Linked DNA regions of Sus scrofa. The protein of the gene in region 4 interacts with the protein of the main gene of each other region in a pairwise test. Links are inferred from orthologs where the notes say so. Each region holds a gene or a part of one and is shown on either strand. Other genes may lie near its edges. The genes, in order: RAB5C, SUV39H2, CRADD, APPL2 and RAB22A.

Region 1 (2,784 bases), on a different chromosome or scaffold from region 4:
TGGTAACTTCCATATGCCTTGGGTGGGGCCCTAAAAAGACAAAAAAAAAAAAAAAAAAAAAAAGTGCAAGTGTATTTGAGGGTAACTTTCTAGAAGTCTTTCCCAGCCTAGTGGTTTTGAAGAGCAAGAAGGCAGAATGGGCCTAGGGAGACCTGAGTCAAACATCTGCCAGTTTGTGTGAGCTGAGAGGTGCTGTAGGTGAAACAGGGAACTCAGAGCAGGAAAGAGAGCCTTGGGCCTGAAAACCCCTGTATGGTTCTGTTGGATGGAAGGCACTGTAATTGGGGAGGATTTTTATGCTGGGCTTCAGCCCCTGCCAACTGTCAGTGTTTGCCTCCCACCCACTTTCTCACCTCCATCCAAATCAGGAAGCACAAGCCTATGCAGAGGACAACAGTTTGCTGTTCATGGAGACATCGGCAAAGACTGCAATGAATGTGAATGAAATTTTCATGGCCATAGGTAAGATGCCTCCCCCGCCCCCAAGCAGGGTATATTACTTGCCTGCTGTTTTACAGTAGGTCTGTGGGGTCCTACAGATCTGGGGTCTGTTCACCAAGAGATCTTTTTCCATTTTTGATAGTGTGCTGAAGGGGTTTTCTTGTTCGTCTGACGCTCAGATATAGATAGTTCAGGGGGGTGGTGGGTAAAAAAAAAAAAAAAAAAAAAAAAAAAAGATATAGATAGTTCCCTCCAGAAGTCTCAAGCCTGGGCCAGAGTCTCACCATTTCACTTCCTGACCCTCTGCCGAGCGTGCCACCCACCTAAAATTCTACCTCTCCATCCCCAATCCGCTTCTTAGGATTTTTTCCTTTTTTTTTTTTTTTTTTTTTTTTTTTTTGCTATTTCTTGGGCCGCTCCCGCGGCATATGGAGGTTCCCATGCTAGGGGTCCAAATCGGAGCTGTAGCCACAGGCCTACGCCAGAGCCACAGCAACGCAGGATCCGAGCCGCGTCTGCAACCTACACCACAGCTCACGACAACGCTGGATCGTTAACCCACTGAGCAAGGGCAGGGACCGAACCCGCAACCTCATGGTTCCTAGTCAGATTCGTTAACCACTGCGCCACGACGGGAACTCCAGGATTTTTTCCTTTTTAAGTTCATTTGGCTCTGGAGTCATCCTGTGTGGCCTTGAATCTCTGCCACTTGTTAGCGCTGTGGTCCTGAGCAAGTTTTGTAGCCCCTCTTTGCCTCAGTTTCCTGAAAGACCCAGAGCGTGCCAGGCTTATAGAAGCGAAGCTGCCGGTATATTGGCTATCACGGATTGGGTGGTACCCACGTGGACCTGAGGGACAGTAGGGTGCCCTTACAGACACGCACCTTCCCCCCTCCTCTCCCATACAGCCAAGAAGCTTCCCAAGAACGAGCCCCAGAATGCAGCTGGTGCTCCGGGCCGGAACCGAGGTGTGGACCTCCAGGAGAACAACCCCGCCAGCCGGAGCCAGTGCTGCAGCAACTGAGCCCCCCTTGCCTGCCCATTGCCCCCACCTCCTCCGCCTCAACGACCCGACTGGAATCCACTCTAACCAATCGCACTTAACGACTCGGGCCACCACTAGGGGGGGCAGAGGGAGGGGTCCACCGTAATTTCTCCATATCATTTTGATCATAGGCCGGAGTGAGTTATTCCACCTGCACCTTTCTGTACAAATACTAATTCAATTTTAAGTCTTAAGTCACTTTTTTAATATATATGATCTGCTCTTCCCACTTCCTGCCCTTTCTACTGCTCTCCCACTCTTCCTCTGCCGGTAGTAGCCACGTGCCCCCGTTGCCCCAACCCTAGTGTATGGGGAGGTGGGGGTTGGAGCAGTTCCCCTTCTTTCCCTCTTGCTGATTAGCGGGCTCAGCAGGAGCATCCATATCCTTACTGTGTTTGGAGTGCGCTTGGTTCCGGGTGGCGGGGCAGGCCCTGGGGTTAGGGAAGGGAGGGGCCGCTCTCCCCTCAGCTGGCTGTCATCAGGCTGCGGCGCCCCCTCACCCCCTGACTCACAGCTGGGAGAGAACCCACAGCATTACCACAGCATTATTGTGACAGCCACGAACCCATTGCCCACAGCCCCCTTCCCCCTCGTCCTTGGTCACCCTGACCTCTGGCTCTGAGCCCTGTTCTGACCAAATCACGATGATGAGTATTGGGGGGGGGCGGGTAAGGGGGGGAGTGGGAGGGGATGGAACCAACTTTTTCTGTATTTTGTATTGTATGTTTTCTTCAACATGTAACCAATCAGTATCTTGTCAATATAGTCAGCCGATCGATCGACCTCCCGCTTGTCTTTCTTGTCTTTCTCTGGCAGAGTTTTATGAGGCCATATCCTTTCTGTCTTACTTGAAGTTAATTTAAAATGAACCTCTAAATCTTATTAAACAAAAGCTTTCTTCTTCTCAAGTGAGGGGATGGTGGTGGTCATGGCAACCAAGAGAAAGAGGCCAGCTGTTAACCAGCTCTGGTGGGGTGGAGGGGGTAAGAGTGAGCTGGGCCTGAGTCGCACCTAGTTTGAAGCTGAGGGTCCGCATCTCCCTCTTCCCCATCCCCTCCAGATTATATTGGGCCGATGAGCAGTCTGTATTTGGAAACGGTCTCTGAACACCAGAAACACCCTCTCTGGGGTTCTTTGATTCGTCTCTGCTAGGCTGGTGAGGGAATGGGTCCTCTCATCTTCTCCCCTGAAGAAGAAGGAACACCAATGACCTCTGGAACCTTGGACTGGTCATATGGCCCAGACGGCAGCCCCACACCAGGTCCACGCCGTCTGATCCCTGGTCTCTCAGGGGCCCTC
Region 2 (4,077 bases), on a different chromosome or scaffold from region 4:
CCACCCTTCAACTGGCAATTTTATAAGACTAAAAATTCATATGACAAGAAATCATTTACATGTCTTTAAGAAAAAGTTAACCATTAAAGAACTATTTTGGTAAATCGGTCTTCTTGGATTTTCTCATGGGTCTCTACCCTAACATGTTTAGTTGATGTCAATTAGTTTCTACTAGGCCACCTGAACAAAATGTTTCATGTCTGTAAGCTTTCATAAAATTACATGCATTATATGTGGAATCTAATTAAAAAATGACACAAAAGAACTTAATTTATAAAACAGAAACAAACTCACAGATTTCAAAACCAATCTTAAGGTTACTATAGGTGAAACCATTGGGGGGAAGGGAAGAATTGGGAGGGTGGGAGTAACATACACACACTACTGTAGAAAACAGATGATTAATGAGAATCTACTGTATAGCACAGGAAAATCTACTCAATGGTTTGTAATAACCTTAATGGGAAAAAAGAATGGCTCTATTTATGACTGATTCACTTGCTGTACACCTGAAACTAACACAACATTGTAAGTCAACTAAGCACCAATAAATTTTTTTTAAATTACATATAAATGCAAAGGTAGAGATATTTTTTACTTTTCCATTGTATTCTACAGAGAAGTGCTGTTTTAATAAAAATGTAGATCTCAAGGACATACTAATCATCACTATAAATACATCTTAAATATATTTTAAAATTATCGTCTATTGTTAAAAGTAACGTTCCCCCTTTCTCCTAGCTGAACAATAAGAAATAAAACCTAATTGAAATATAATTCTTTAGTTACTCATACATCATATGGCCTACTTTCCCCACTTTGGAAGGCTGCATGAAGTTTTAACTCCAGTTTTGCCCAGGCTGCAATATATTATTATCAAGGTAAATAAGCCCAAGAATTATAATAAAATAATGGACAGTATATTGAGTTTTCTAATATTCAATTCCTGTATTGTTTTTAAAGCCGAGAATGACAATACAGAGTATCAATTTAAATAATCCATACACCAAGCTTGAAGAAAAGCAGACATACTCATAATCAAGAGTATGCTAGAAACGAATGGAAGCTAGAAACTAACTGTGCTGAGGAAGATTTTACCCTCAAATTCCTGTAAATAGCATGCTACCCACTGCACCTAAAATGTTAACACAAATTGATGTCATAAACTTGGTTTTATGGCTATGAGACTATGAGAAGCACTAGGGAGGATCAGGGGGTTTTGCCCCAGATTCCCTGAGGCTGGCTTTAGAGAAGTTTCTCTGTTTCTAGGTTTCAGATTCACTGCGGGGGGGGGGGGGGGAAGAAAGGAGTGAGGGTTGGAGTAAACTGGGATTACCAAACAAAATCCATCAGTAAACGCAAGCTTTACTTGGTAGCTCTCCAAGGTAGTTGTGATAACCTTTTGTTTTGAAGTAATTTCCAGGGAAGAGAGAACACAGCTGTTCTTACTACGTCCTCACCCTCCCCAACTCACACAGGCACCTCACCGTCAGGAACCGTGAAGTAGGGTTCGTAATTCCAGACCAAGAAAGTGAAAGGAATTGTTCTCTTCAAAATTTAGGGCTAAGAGTGTGCTTGTTTTGGAGTGTTGGCTTGGACGTAGGGGAATTTGGCAGAACAGAAACGACCCTTTAAATCCTTTCACTGAAAAAGCTTCAGGAAGTTTTGCGTCAAGATAACCTCCTTATGCTGATGGCATGCAAAGGACCTTCCTCTGGATTATCTACCCAAGGTATGTTTGTCTGCTGTTCCTACCATTGTTATCTAGTCGGAGTACTATGCAGATTCAAGACACAAGCCTCGACAGAAATGCTATGTTTGAGAACGACTGGAACCTAAAAAACCTGCAAACTCCTGGTAACAATTCGGATCGCCTCTAATAAGATAGGGAAAGAACTCCTTTATAAGATTAAACGTTTCGCGACCACCCCCAAAACTTGAGTTCACACTAACCCCTAGTGGCAGACACGCTGGGGGGCAGTGAGTCCACGATCTATGCCGAGAAGCGCAGTGCTGGAAACACCTTTCAGGTTCCAGAAGGCATTGAAAGTTCCAGTCTTTCAGCGCGCGCACAAATACACGTTCAGCACCGAGCTCCTTGGCGTCCACCTCATTAATTCCCACGCAAGCTCCCGCCGGGGAGAACTCTTCCCCATGAGCCGGAGGCCACAACCTCCGAGACCCACTTCCTGGGATGTTCCCAACTGGGAGCGGAAGCCCCCCAGTAAGTCCAAAATGGGGTGTACCCTCACTTCTTTCCTTTCTCAGCCTCCACACCTCCGCCCCGACTACTCCTCTCCTCGGATACTGAGGTCACACCTACACCACCGGAGGCCTCCCGCTCCCCAGTTCAAAAACCGGCCCGGACCGCGAACCGTCCCGCTCAAAGCAGCACAAAGGAGTCGAGCCCCCCGTGTGCCCACGGACCTCGAGCCGCGCAGGGATCCGCCGGAGCCGTTCGAACGCCTCCGCACCGCGGCCGGGCCGGGGCCCATCTCGGGCCCGAACGGCAGCGGGACCCAGACCGCCGAGTCCGCGAGCCGGCAGCGGGGCGTGCGGGCCTGGCCTCGCGGGGGCCGGGCGCGGGAGGAGACTGCGGGCCGCGGGCGGGCCGAGCCGCGAGGAGGGTCAGGGGCCCGGGGCAGGGAGGGGCCCGCGGCGCGCGTGTAGGGGCCGCCGCGTCAGCCGCGCGGCAGGAGGCTTCCTGTCCCGTCGCGCTCCGGCCCGCCCGCGCGTCCCGGCCCCGCTTCCCCGGCCTCGGGAGTTTGCCTGGAGGACGGGGGACAGTGCGGGGCGCCGCTCTCCAGCCCTCACCTCCTCGCGCCTCGGCCCCGGCCGCCGCCATCTTGAGGAGCTTTCATTCAAACTGGCGCGGTCGGACGGGATAGCTCAGCTGGCCGACGCCCCGCCCCCGCCCGGCCCGCGCGGGACTCGGGGGCCGGGGCGGGGGGCTAGAACCCGCGAGGCGTCCTGACGTCAGCCGAGGCCGACTTGTCTGGGACAGCCAGCGCGCCTGCGCCCCACGTTGTCTCCCCGTGTGCGGAGGGGCGGGGCAAACTGGCCGGAGAGCAGCCCGTGGCCGGAATACCGGAGTGTAGGGCTGGGTCAGCGGCCACCTGCCCTGATCTGCCTAGTTTAGCGCCTAATTCAAGGCACTTACCACAGGCTTTCCTACAGTTGTTAGTTCTTTTCCATGGTGCTACTGATACACACCGTGCAAAATTTCAAACGCAGAGCGGAGCTACAAAGTGCAGAGTACGTTTCCTTCCCGTACCTGTTCCTTAGCCACCTGAGCCCTACTAGCCACTGTTACGTTTCCTTCCAGGCTACTCCTCCAGATCACAGTTTCTCAAAATTGGCTGCACGTTGGGATTCCTTGGAGGTTTGGGGTTTTTTTGGTTCCATTCGCAGAAATTTAATAGGCAAAAGGTGTACCCGGAACATTGGAGTTTTTAGAGGTCCCCAGGTGATTCTAAATGTGGAATTTGAAACCTCTGGTCTAGAACAGTGCTTCTCACACTCGAATGGGTACAGGAATCATCTGAACATCCTGGTGTTTTTGTTTGTTTTGCCTTTTTTTAGGGCCACACCTGGGGCATATGGAAGTTCCCAGGCTAGGGCTCAAGTCGGAGCTCCAGCTACAGCACATTTCGCAGCAACAGGGATCCTTTACTCACTGAGCAGGCCAGGGATTGAACCACATCCTCATGAATACTGGTTGGGTTAGTAACCCGCTGAGCCGTAATGGGAATTCCCTGGGCATCTCGTTAAAATGCAGATTCGAATCAGGTATGTCTGGGTTGGAACCTGAGGTTCCGCGTTTATGACGAGCCCCCAGGCTACGCCCCATGCCTGTGGGTAGGCTGTAAGATGCCAAGTCCTACAGGTCCTTTGCTAGGACCTAACTGGTCTCCACTCCCACCCCGCCCCCGTCCATTCTACACACTGCGTCCATGGTAATTGTACTGCACGATCTGATGCGGAAATCTGAGACTAGTAAATTGCGAAAGTTCCGCAGAAAGCTGTTTAATGTCTACCAACGATTTTTAAAAGAAATTTAAGTAAAACACAAAATTA
Region 3 (4,224 bases), about 10 Mb from region 4:
ACCCACTGAGCAAGGGTAGGGACCGAACCCGCAACCTCATGGTTCCTAGTCGGATTCCTTAACCACTGCGCCATGATGGGAACTCTAGGCATGTTTTAAAAATAGGTAGTTTTATATGGGTTTTTTTAGTTGGTGGTGTTAATAATTGTTTCAGCCTTATCATATGTTTGAAAATTATCAAATTTTACAGTTGGAAAAAATAATTTTTTTTCCTCCCCCCAAAGTCAGTAACCTCAGCTATTGGCATTGTCAGAAGAACTCTGCATTTTATCTGGAATGTTGCTAACACCTGTCCATAAACAGAAGGAGACTCTCTGAGAAAAGAACAGCAAAAGAACAAAAGAAGAAGAGGAGAGTGGAGACAATACCTGTTACTCAAGAGTATCAAGAGTAGAGGTGGCACCAATTATTTACTAGCATTTTTCTGTCATTAGAAGAGCAGACTTTTCACCATACAGGGATGTGAGATGTTCTCTATACTGGAAAGAGCATGAAATCAGACGGAGCGAATGAACTCAGGTTTTGCTATTTGTTAGCTGTGAGGTTTTGGTTAAGACACCTGACCACTTTGATTCCACAGTCCTCACATATGTAAAATGCTAATTATACTACTTTTCACCCAATGTAAAAATAGTGTCACTGGCATAGTAAAATGGCATATTGGTATAGTAACACTTTAAAGTGGTTACAAAAATTAGAACGTTTCAAAGAGGTTTAGAATTGCTTTCCATTTCTGATTCAGTTTGCCGATGTTTACTAGTCATTCTTCCATGTTCAGATCTTCAGTCTTTCTAATAATCGTGAAAGTCCTCAATGCCTCATGACAAATGCCTTTCTGTCCAGAACAGCTCGCGGATTGCTTTAATGAATTCCTACCTGATTGACTTGTAAACTCTTTGTGGGCAGACCCTTGTGATATAAAGGAATGACTGCAATTAGTGGGGGGTAGGGGTTGGGGATGGACTGGGAAACATGATAAACGAATGATTAAGTAAAAATTTTAGTAAGATGGTGATATGTGCTTCAGATAAAATGAAGCTGTAAGAGGGATGGGGAGGGCAGAAGGTGAATATTGCAATTTTAAAAGGCATGGTTGAGGAAGCTGCAATTTTATTTTATTTATTTTTTTAATTGTCTTTTTGCTTTTTCTGGGGCTGCTCCCTCGGCATATGTTGGTTCCCAGGCTAAGGGTGTAATCGGAGCTGTAGCCACCGTCCTAAGCCACAGCCAGAGTCACGCGGGATCCCAGCCGCCTCTGCGACCTACACCACAGGTCAGGGCAACGCCGGATCCTTAACCCGCTGAGCGAGGCCAGAGATCGAACCCTCAACCTCATGGTTCCCAGTCGGATTCCTTAGCCACTGCGCCACTACAGGAACTCCAGGAAGTTGCAAATTTAAATAAGAGTGATCAAGGAAGGTCTCCCTGATAAGGTAACTTTCGAAACCTGACTATCTATTACGTCAATTGAGTACAAAGCCCTGGTGGAGTTACTGTGTTAAAATACAATTATCCAGTGACTCCTTTCCTAAGCGAAGGTACGTTTTCCATCTCCAGAAGGTTTCAGTATTTACCCACAGCAAACATGGCGGAAAAGGCTTCATCCGAACACACTCGGGCCACCAATAAAGAGGGCCACAGCGCTTCCTGTGTTTGCCCTTAACAAAGATGGCTACAACACTTCCTGTTCAGGGCTCTTGCCTTCAACAAAGATGGTGCCCATGGTACAGGTTCCCTGACTGTCTGGATTCCGGTTGCAGTTTGTTCTGTTTTGTTTTTAAAGATACGTGTTTGCAGACGTAAGTAACAGGAAACCAGAACCCCCGTATCCATCTTTTCTCAAAGACCCCGCGTCGTGGCATCTGCAGCCTGGGCCCTGCAAGCCCCCCCACCGTCCCGCCCCGTGACTTGCTCGCGGCGTCCCCGAGCCCGCGGGGTCGGGGTGACGGGGTGACGCTCTCCCCTCGGGCTCCCCTGCAGACCATTCCCAGCACTCCCTTTTTAGTGGGTCAGGTTGCCTAGAAAATCTTTCGTAGTTCTTCCTGTTGTTAATGCCACAGAGCTTGAGCTGGCAGGGCAAGGAATAAAACGAAGTCCCAAACGAGTAGGAGTTGCCCAAAGTGCACACCGCCCTGCTTACCTGCCGCCCCTCGGGGTCGCCCGCTGTGGTGGTACTTTCTGTGGGTGTTGTGAAGCCCCGTCGGCCGCCCCGGCCTCCCCTCTCCGCCACTTACTCTCCTGGCTGGCCCTCTGTTCACTGCTGCAGTGGTCTTGGAAGCAAGCCATCAATGGCCTGTGGACATTTTTTTTTTTCTTTTAAAGGAAACAAACACACCCATTAAATATCCCATGCATGTGTGGCCGTGGCAGTGTTGTGATGGAGGTTTGGAATTCTTCCAGGGAAGGGCTGGAGTCTGTGATTAGGTGTAAGGTTTACTGTAGACTGGGCAGGAATGTTTAATGTTTTCCTTGAAGGCCTTTTCTCTTGGTGAAAAAGATTCTTAAACGTATGGTACCCCCACAGGTTTCTGGCCTCACCCCCACTGCGGATCAGGTTCGGCACATGCCCTGGGTCTAAAGGATACCCACATGGATATCAGCAGTTTCTGCCGTGATGGGGTTATCTCTGATGAAGGCAATGTTAAAATAAAAAGCACTGTTTCTTCTCAAGCATGCTAAAATGAAATGCTCCTCTGTTATCCTCAGAAAAAAATTGCTTTTAAAGTAGGGTCTCTGATCCACTTTTTTTCCCAATCTCTTTATGGAACAAGACTGGAGCTAGGACCTCACTATGTAGAGAGCAAAAACAAAGGGCATGATTCATGCTCAGGGCTGTTCATCACGTTCAGGAACATTGGAAATTAATTCAGCTCGGCTTAACAGCTGCGTATGAAACACCGTGGCCTGGCACTCTGCTAATTTTCAGAGACGTCCTTGACCTTAAGGAGTTTGCATTGTAAGAGCCTTTTTAGGGGCTCATCAGGCATCCCGTGATCTGAGCTACCTTTTGTCTTTTCCCAGGGGCACATGGAGGCTAGAGACAAGCAAGTCCTTCGCTCCCTTCGCCTGGAGCTGGGTGCAGAGGTGCTGGTAGAGGGGCTGGTTCTCCAGTATCTTTACCAGGAAGGGATCTTGACGGAAAACCACGTTCAAGAAATTAAAGCTCAAGCTACAGGCCTTCGGAAAACAATGCTGCTGCTGGATATCCTACCTTCCAGGGGTCCTAAAGCATTCGATGTATTCCTAGATTCCCTGCAGGAATTCCCTTGGGTAAGGGAGAAGCTGGAGAAGGCAAGAGAAGAAGCCATAGTTGAGCTGCCTGCAGGTAGGCCTCAAAATGATCCCTCCAGACCAGCTCCCAAAGTGTTGGAATTGTGCCCTTTGGATGTGAAGTTGGGGTTTTAGGCTGCCTGGGCGTTGGCCTGTCCTGAAAATGGGTACGGAGTTTGTGCTGAAGGCACCTGGCGTTGGTGGGACCAGATGAGGAGGTGGAGCTAGGACGTGCAGCGGGGGAAGGCGCAATGGGCCATGGCTGGGAGGGTGAGGCGGGAACGCAGCGGATAGTTTAGAAATGCTTCCAGGGAAAGTTGGCAGGTCCCTTGGGAGGCATGTTCTCCTCTGAGAGCCAGGTCATGTCTCAGCCCTTGGCATCAGGAGCCATTTGGAAAGTGCAGATGGGAAAGTAGGCTTCAGGCGTCCTGATAACTGATGTGTGGGGTGCCAGAGGGGTGCCAGAGCGGCGGGCCGGAAAAGGTCAGACTCATGAAGGAGGAGACAGCGTCTAGGAAGGCACGCCTTGCACCTGCTCCATGGCCCACCCTGCGTGGCCAAAGGGGATTATTTGGAAGGCTGGCTTTGTTTGTTTTTAAAGGCTGTTGATTTAAAGTCTTCCTTTCAGGTGGGCTTTGTTTGGACACCTGGAGTGTTTAATTTGGTGTGGACAGTGCTTTGGGGGAGGGATGGCTCCTTTTGATTTGAAGGAACGTTGGAAGCTATGAAAAAGAGAAACCGTCCTAGGGTTATCAGCCTGGCTTGTGTCGGAAGGAGATGTGATAGGAAACACTTGTTCCCTCTTAACACCTCTCATGCTTTCTACTTTTTACGGAGATTGAGGAGCAGAAAACTGAACTGGCCAAAAAAAAAAAAAAAAATTTACTTGCTTTTTTTTTTTTTTTTTTTTTTGTCATTTTTAGGGCCGCACCCGTGGCATATGGAGATTCCCAG
Region 4 (3,530 bases):
CTAATTTTAGTGATTAATTCACCTTTGTAGTCACCTTAAACACAAAGTAGGCACTTAATAATTTTGTTTGGCAAATTAAATGTCACTAAAACACTTTTTTCATGACTTTCTCTGTGGAGAATGACCTTGTCTTTTTCAATTCCAGCTTGTTGTGTGGTATTCAGTATATTCTTATTTTTTCTAGTTCGAACTTACCAGTGTCACTCAGTTTGCTGCTCATCAAGAAAATAAAAGGCTGGTTGGCTTTGTGGTGCGCATGCCTGAATCCACAGGCGGAGAGTCGCTGAGCACATATGTTTTTGAAAGCAACTCAGAAGGGGAAAAGGTCTTGTTATTTTCTTCACCTTCAATGTTCCATGATATCTCAGTCCAAAGACATTTAAAGAGTTATTTTGCATGACTCCCTTAGATATTCAGTTGGCTGTTCCGCAGGTCTCCATTGAGAAGTTTAGATAATAATACCTTCTAGGAAGGTCCCATTGATTGAAAACTGACTAGAGTAAAATTTCCTTCTGGAAAATACATATCAACCAAAATAGAGTGAATGAAGAACTTTAAAGATGAAGTAGAATTGTTTAGCAGAGATACTAGGGAAGTGTTAAAAGCAGTTCTTAAATTTGTTTGTTTTTTTTAAAAAAAAAAAAAACAAAGCAGATGTTACAATGGAGAAAATTTATTCTCAGTGAGCAAACCAAGGAAGCAGATGTCAGGAGAGTGTATCTAAACTATTCCCTTCTTTAATATGAAATACTTCATGGCTGCATTCACTACTTAGAAGTAATCAAAATGAACCAATCCTTATTTCAGAAAGTATTTGTTTGCCACTGTGTATATGAATATGCAGCGGCTAAATATGGGTAAGAGGGAAAGGAGAAAAGTACCCTGTTAAGAATTTTAAATGATTTAATAACTTTTCACTTAACCTGCATATTGTTTGTACACACAAACTGGCAGTAGGAGACCAGGCCTCTAGTGTTCAGAGCCCTGGTGCTGAGTCTCCTTCAGTCCTCTGTCCCCATGTTGACATGAGCAGACAGTGACTTCGTCGTACTTTCATAATCACATTTTTTCTAAAATTATTATTTTCTGCCTTTGCCAAACACTGCTTTCTTGTCTTTTCCAGATATGTTATGCTATTAATTTGGGAAAAGAAATCATTGAGGTACAGAAGGTAAGGTGCATTTTAGTGCTGGTTTAATGACTACTCAAAAGATTTCTATGCGCGTATTAAGATTTCACTCAAAAAGAGAAATGACAGTCAACTAGGCAGAGTGGCCAAGTTTGGGATTTTCTTCTAAGCATTCTGACTACCAGGCATTTTGGATCAGCTAGTTCCATGGTCACTGGTAACACTTGGAGTTCTTAATATCACTGCTGTAACTCCTGCTCTTTTATCAAGTTTTGGGGTTTTTTGGTTTTGTCTTGTTTTTGCTTGCTACTGCTGTTGGTTAGATTGCCTTTCTTCCAAATTAAGATGGTACAAACTTAATGCTCTAAGGCCCTGCTCCTCGGAGTGGTCGCAGGTCCAGCAGCATTGATATACGTCACGTAGAAACTTATTAGAAGTGAAGACTCTTAGACCTCTTTTTCAGCAGTTTACAGCCTTTCATTTACCCAACAAATTTTTGAGAGCAAAGTCTGTGTAAGAAAAAAACCTGGAATTAGAGCAATAAACAAGGGAGACACACTTCCTACCCGGGTTTGGGGGTGGAGGGCTTCTAGTTCTGCACTATGAAACAGAACTTTCTGCAGTGATGGAAATGATCTTTTATTTATTTATTTATTTGTCTTTTTGCCATTTTTTGGGCCGCTCCCGCGGCATATGGAGGTTCCCAGGCTAGGGGTTGAATCGGAGCTGTAGCTGCTGGCCTACACCAGAGCCACAGCAACGCGGGATCTGAGCCGCGTCTGCAACCTACACCACAGCTCATGGCAATGCCGGATCATTAATCCACTGAGCAAGGGCAGGGATTGAACCCACAACCTCATGGTTCCTAGTTGGATTCGTTAACCACTGAGCCACGATGGGAACTCCTGATCTTTTTAATATGCAGAGTGAATGAGGCTAGTGTGATCAAGGAACTGGATTTAAAAAAAATTTTTTTAGGAGTTCCCTGGTGGCACAGTCGATTAAGAATCTGGCATTGTCTGCTATGGCATGGGTTCGATCCCTGGCTAGGGAACTTCTGAATGCCTCGGGCACAGCCAAAATAAAACAAAATTTTAATTTAAATGCAAATAGTGATGGAGTTAGTGGGATCATACTATCATCTATCAAGGAGGGGCAGGTGGATCAAGGAGTAAGACCAACATAAGGAAAAAATGGCAAGCACTGCAAGTTCACATTTTATGGTATAGATCAAAGTTGGCGAACTTCAGTAATGGGCCAGATAATAAACCTTTTTAGGCTTAACCATCTCTGTTGCATCTACTTAGCCCTGCTGTTGTAACACAAAAGCAGCTCTAGATAGTATGGAAATAAATTGGCATGGCTGTGTTCCATTTAAACTTTATAAAAAACAAGTGATGAGCCAAGTGGCCATAGTTTGCCACCTCTCAGTATCAAGTAAAAGGAACAAGAGAAGTTTAAAGACAACGGGGTTGTTAAGGAAGTTCTTCCCTGGACTCTCCAGGAAGATGATTCTGAATTGACTGTAAATGATGTTTTGGCTGAGAGTTAAAACCTTAGCCTAGTTTCTGGAAGAGGATTTTTTTTTGAGATGCAGGACCTACTTGAAGGCACCCATAGACAAAAATCAGGAGTGAAGCTAGGTTACAGAACATAGTGACAGCCAAGCCAAAGCGGTTTTAAGTGCATTTTAAGCGTTTCTTTTCTTCCTCTTAAACTCCCATAACTTCAGGATCCAGAAGCATTGGCTCAACTAATGCTGTCCATACCACTAACCAATGATGGAAAATATGTACTGTTAAACGATCAGCCAGATGACAGTGATGGAAGTTCAAGTGAAAATAGAGGCGCAGAATCTGAAGCATAACTTTCTTGCTGTGCCTTTGGGGGAAGAGCACCCAGGAAGGAGAACTGCCTCCTTAAGGGTTTTCAACTTCTCTAACGCAGGCACACCACCTGGTTTCAGAATGCTGACAATCACTTGTGGAATGTACTCTTGATGCCTTGATACTGAAACTTGGGAGGGAAACAGTAAGCAATGGTTGACAACATACCCATCTGCAAATGTTATTTTAGGTGCTTTGTGGTAAGTCTTTTTCTTAGATTGCACTGTTCAGCGCTCAGAATGAAAGCTATGAAAAAAAGGCATTGTTCACTTTATTTCATCATCTCTTTTCAGTTTCCAGTATCCTTTTTTAAAAAATGGTAAAAGCCTAGATTTATAATTTGATAAACACTAAATATTTCCTATTAATATCTATTTTTGTATTTTACTTAGCTTTAAGTGCCTGTCATTCTGAAAATTGTGTATTTATAATCAAGCTTGTCTTATAATTGGACCTAATAGCATTAACTTGTGTAGTTAAATGAAGGGCCCTGTTCTTTGAGGCTCAAGCACTAG
Region 5 (3,994 bases), on a different chromosome or scaffold from region 4:
AATAAATGAGCCTGTGGCTTTGGCAATGAGATGGAGCGAGGTACCGAGGGCAGGAGGTTTGAGGGGACGGTAGGGGTGGGACAGCGACCATGGTGGTTGAGGAGAAGCAGCAGTTGAGGAAGCAGTAACTTCTCTTTCTCGAGTCCCGTGGTTTGCACGGCAGGTGTGGGGAATGGCCCTGCCCTGGCGGCGCCTGCAGAGTGGGGGCGCCTCTGCAGGCCCCCACACGGAGGCAGAGCGGCGGAAGAAAGGGGAGACGGGAGGAAGGGGGGCTCCGGAGCTCAGGTGTGTGGGGGGTGGTCATGAAGGAGGAAGACACCTGCCGAGGAGAAGGAAGGGGGAGGGGATGAGTGGAAAGCCTCGTATCTGTCTCTTCTGCGGGTGTGAGCCTAGACCACCCAGTGCAGAGAGTGGGACTCCAGGAGGTTAAAGACCCCAGCACCTGTCGGACTAGGGGGGCTGGCAGACAGGGAAGCGGGGATGCCCAGGACCGCGCCCCAGGCCTCCGCATGACTGCCAGAGCTAGACCCTCCGTCTCCCCTCTTCTCGTCTGAGAGCGCACTTCCACCCAAGCCAGCCTTGGGGTGGTCAGCGCTGACGTGGGGTGAGGTGCGTCATTCTCTGAGTCGCCAGCTCTCCCTGCTCTCACTTCCTGTCCATTCGCTTTCCCAGGCAGGTAGTGACACGCAGGCCCTGAGGAGGATGAGTTCACACCTTAAGCGTGTGGACAGACGCAGTTCTCTCTTGAAGGGTCCTGGAAGGCATTTTCACCTCGCAAAGTGAGTGGCTGCGGCACCGTCACGCCTTCGGATGCGTGTGGATGTGCTGTAACATAGCTCCCAATTGGGCGGAACACAATTTCTTTAAATGGGAGAAACTATGTGATCAGGGGTTTGCAGAGCAGCTACTTAGTTTTACCAGCAATAACAAAATACTAAAATCCATGAAACAAAACTTCTCAAGAGAAAGAGTTAATATCACATTTAAACACTCGGGAAAGTTTTCGCAAAGTCAAAAAGCCTATAGCCAATTTCGCTTATTCTAAGAACCAGATACCTGAAAAAAACCCTTACGGTTTGACATTAATTTATCAATTCATCATTACTCCTAGTGCAGGAAGGTGTGAGAAAGGTTCAGAAAGACCATAAACTACTTTTCAGAAAGAACTAAAGCCACCTAAAATTTCTTTCAGTTGACATGCTGGAAAAAAATTATTAGGACCTGTTTTCTTCTGCCTTATTTCAAGATGTAATTGGTGTTATAGTCACAGGCTGAAGGCATTATGTGTATTCTAAAACAAACTTAAACTCATGTTTCCATTTTGAAGTTTTCACGAAATCAAAAGCCAATTTTTCTAAAACCCAGCAATCTGTGAGGGTTTTAAGCCCTTCCTGAGACAAAAGGAACCACTGCCTCGAAATTTACTAGAGTTTAAAATGAGGATGCCGCCCCCTGTGACACATTTTTAATGAGAAAGGACTTTCAATACACCTTTACATGTATATTCAATAAGCTCCATCTCTTACCCTATTGTTGGGTTGATGTTGGGATCAAAGCTGTCTTCCACAAACCGCCACACAATGCTGGATTTACCCACACCTGTATCCTGAAAGAGAATGAGACAGGTGAATCAGAAAAGGTTTACCTGCTTGAAGACACTGAAAACGATCTTGTGCCAAGAGCTGAGGACTTTAGAAAAATCATCCTGAATTTTAGAAGTTAAGGGACACCAAGGAAGTCTTTATAAACATTCAGTGGAGTACTTCGGAGATTTCAAAACGGATTGTAGGAGAGGGGTTTTGAGCTTTTAAGAGACACGAGAACCTTCTGAAAGACCCAAAGTCTCTGCTTAGTGTGAAAAGTGACAAACTCACTTGCTTTCTGACCTGTATAACTCACTCTGAACTCTTGAATTACTTCTGAGTAATCCCTGATATATCCCAGCCCCACCCAATCTGGGAAAGAGGAAAACCAATGGAAATCTTTATCAGTCTTTCAAGCAGCAACTCAGGAGAGCATCAACCTCAGATATGCTCCCAAACAGCAAAGGTGCCTTGACAAGACAGGAAACTTAAGCTGCAAACTAATTTTGGGGCCTCCTGATTTGAATGTCTCCCCCCGCTCCACGAAAAGTAACTCTTCCTGAAGTGTCAGGGGTATCCCACAAGTTCAAAAGACCAAGCTTTGTAAAACCTAAAGGCCTGTTATGGGTTTTACTTTGCAAGACTGGGCCAACTCCTAACTAGTACATGGGTAGGAAACTATTCAAGAGCTGCTCTTAACCTAGATGCAAGGGGAGGCAGGGAGGGCTCTTCATCCTCTGGGGGGCAGGACGACTCCTAGGGCTCCAGACAAGGCGGAAGGTCCCCCGGCCCAGCAAAACCTTCAGGAGGGAGCGGCCCGGTGGGCTGGACGGCCCGGGGGCTGGAGGGTGGGTCCCGGGGCAGGTAGGCGGCGTCCGGCGCGGAGGTTGGGGGAAGGGGCGGGGGGATGTGGGCACGCCCGGGTCCCCGGCCCGCCCGGCCTCCCGCGGCCCTCCTGGCCAGCCGGTCACCACTCACCCCCAGCAGACACACTTTGAGCTCCCTCAGCGCCATGGCCCGGGAGCAAGGGGCGCGGGCCCGCCGCCGCCCTAAGTTGAGGAGGGAGAGGCCCGGCCCAGCACGAGCATCCCCCGGCGCCGCCGCCGCACGGCCTAGCCCCGGCTGCGGGGCGCGTCTAGGCGGCGGCCGCCCGTTCGCCGGCCCTCGGCCCGGCCCGTCCGTCGCCAGCCGCGCGGGGCCCTCCTCAGCAGCCGGGACGGTGCGGCGGGCTCCCGGGCGCCTCCGCTGCCGCCATCTTGGGACGCCAGCCGGGTCACCTGACCTCCCCGCCCACCTCGGCAGCCACCTTCGCCGAGAGGGCGGGGCCGGCCGGCGCCGCGAGGCTGGCGGGGAGGCCCGGGCCCGGGGGCGGGGCCCGAGGCCAGATTCCCCGCCCCTCTCCCGCCGGCCCCGCCCCCTCCCGCCGGCCCCGCCCCCGGGCCCATCCCAAGATGGCGGGTGAGTGGGGCCGGGCTCTTGGGGCGCCCCCTCCCCTCTAGCCGTGATCGCCCCGCGAGGCCGGGGGAGCCCTATCCCGGCCCCGAGCCTGCCTGCCGCAGCCCCCTCGTAACTTCTTGTGTGTCTCTTGGTTTTCAGAAATTCCCCCGGTACTTTGTGGACTTGCCGGATGACTTAGACGATTGTAAGTAACAGTTGGGGCGTCCCCGCCCCTGCCCGGGAACCTCTCACAGAATTCGGGGTGCACTGAACTTGGGGGTGGGACCTACAAACTAGGCTCGGCGCGTTGGGAGCAGAAGAGCGGGACCCCAACTGTCTAGACCACTTGTGGCGGTCCCTCCTCTCTGCGCGGGGCGGCCGAAGATGCGGAGCCCCCTCCCCGCCACCGGGAGGATTTTTGTTGTTGGGACACTTCTGACTTCCTGTCACTTTCTTCCTCCTCCTCCTCCTCGTGCCCCTGCGGCGGCCCTGCGGGGACCGGCGTCCAGAGTCCCGGAGGTGCTGGGCGGGAGGAGGCGTGGCCGCCGTGGGCGTGGGGGAGCGACCCCCCGGGTCTCCGCTTTGCCCTCCCTGGGCACTTCCCCGAGGGCGGGCAGTTGGGAGGCCCGGCTCTCCGGTGGCCGCCGCGGAGTTCTCACGCGTCCTGGCCGCAAGCTCACCTCCGCCTCGTCCAGGGAGCCCCTTGTCGCCCGCCTTTCTCCAGGGGTCTCCTTCTCCTGTCACGTCGTACCCTGTCCTTTAACATCGCTTTAAGGGCAGATGGCTGGGGAAGGTTTTCCTGGACTTGCAAGTTCCTAATTGTGGTGAATGAAGCTTTGCTTTTCCATTCAACAAACATTTCTTGAGCACCTGCTGGTTCTGGGCTGGGCCAGCCCGGCACCCACAAAGATGAACCATTCACCAGGCTGACTCTCAGGGACTCAGGGTCCGGGGAGAGACTTGTAAACAGATAA

Evidence for each region.
Region 1: the proteins of APPL2 (region 4) and RAB5C interact in binary tests that used the Homo sapiens proteins (3 or more experiments, as listed by UniProt). The two-hybrid records come from large-scale screens. The link is inferred for Sus scrofa from reciprocal best matches to the Homo sapiens genes APPL2 and RAB5C.
Region 2: the proteins of APPL2 (region 4) and SUV39H2 interact in binary tests that used the Homo sapiens proteins (3 or more experiments, as listed by UniProt). The link is inferred for Sus scrofa from reciprocal best matches to the Homo sapiens genes APPL2 and SUV39H2.
Region 3: the proteins of APPL2 (region 4) and CRADD interact in binary tests that used the Homo sapiens proteins (3 or more experiments, as listed by UniProt). The two-hybrid records come from large-scale screens. The link is inferred for Sus scrofa from reciprocal best matches to the Homo sapiens genes APPL2 and CRADD.
Region 5: the proteins of APPL2 (region 4) and RAB22A interact in binary tests that used the Homo sapiens proteins (3 or more experiments, as listed by UniProt). The two-hybrid records come from large-scale screens. The link is inferred for Sus scrofa from reciprocal best matches to the Homo sapiens genes APPL2 and RAB22A.

The regions. Positions count from the first base shown.
Region 1 is NC_010454.4:20,633,685-20,636,468, forward strand, and holds the end of RAB5C (ras-related protein Rab-5C), read left to right. Parts: intron 1-368; coding exon 369-462; intron 463-1,348; coding exon 1,349-1,464; 3' UTR 1,465-2,268; downstream 2,269-2,784. UniProt on the Homo sapiens protein: The small GTPases Rab are key regulators of intracellular membrane trafficking, from the formation of transport vesicles to their fusion with membranes.
Region 2 is NC_010452.4:46,897,044-46,901,120, forward strand, and holds the start of SUV39H2 (histone-lysine N-methyltransferase SUV39H2), read right to left. Parts: upstream 2,851-4,077; 5' UTR 2,846-2,850; coding exon of another isoform or gene 2,815-2,845; intron 2,607-2,814; exon of another isoform or gene 2,428-2,606; intron 1-2,427. UniProt on the Homo sapiens protein: Histone methyltransferase that specifically trimethylates 'Lys-9' of histone H3 using monomethylated H3 'Lys-9' as substrate.
Region 3 is NC_010447.5:89,477,589-89,481,812, reverse strand, and holds the start of CRADD (death domain-containing protein CRADD), read left to right. Parts: upstream 1-1,407; 5' UTR 1,408-1,799; intron 1,800-2,140; exon of another isoform or gene 2,141-2,389; intron 2,390-3,021; 5' UTR 3,022-3,027; coding exon 3,028-3,325; intron 3,326-4,224. UniProt on the Homo sapiens protein: Adapter protein that associates with PIDD1 and the caspase CASP2 to form the PIDDosome, a complex that activates CASP2 and triggers apoptosis.
Region 4 is NC_010447.5:79,408,246-79,411,775, forward strand, and holds the end of APPL2 (DCC-interacting protein 13-beta), read left to right. Parts: intron 1-184; coding exon 185-325; intron 326-1,123; coding exon 1,124-1,171; intron 1,172-2,861; coding exon 2,862-2,996; downstream 2,997-3,530. UniProt on the Homo sapiens protein: Multifunctional adapter protein that binds to various membrane receptors, nuclear factors and signaling proteins to regulate many processes, such as cell proliferation, immune response, endosomal trafficking and cell metabolism.
Region 5 is NC_010459.5:58,513,833-58,517,826, reverse strand, and holds the start of RAB22A (ras-related protein Rab-22A), read right to left. Parts: upstream 2,843-3,994; 5' UTR 2,598-2,842; coding exon 2,562-2,597; intron 1,607-2,561; coding exon 1,527-1,606; intron 1-1,526. UniProt on the Homo sapiens protein: Plays a role in endocytosis and intracellular protein transport. Mediates trafficking of TF from early endosomes to recycling endosomes. Required for NGF-mediated endocytosis of NTRK1, and subsequent neurite outgrowth.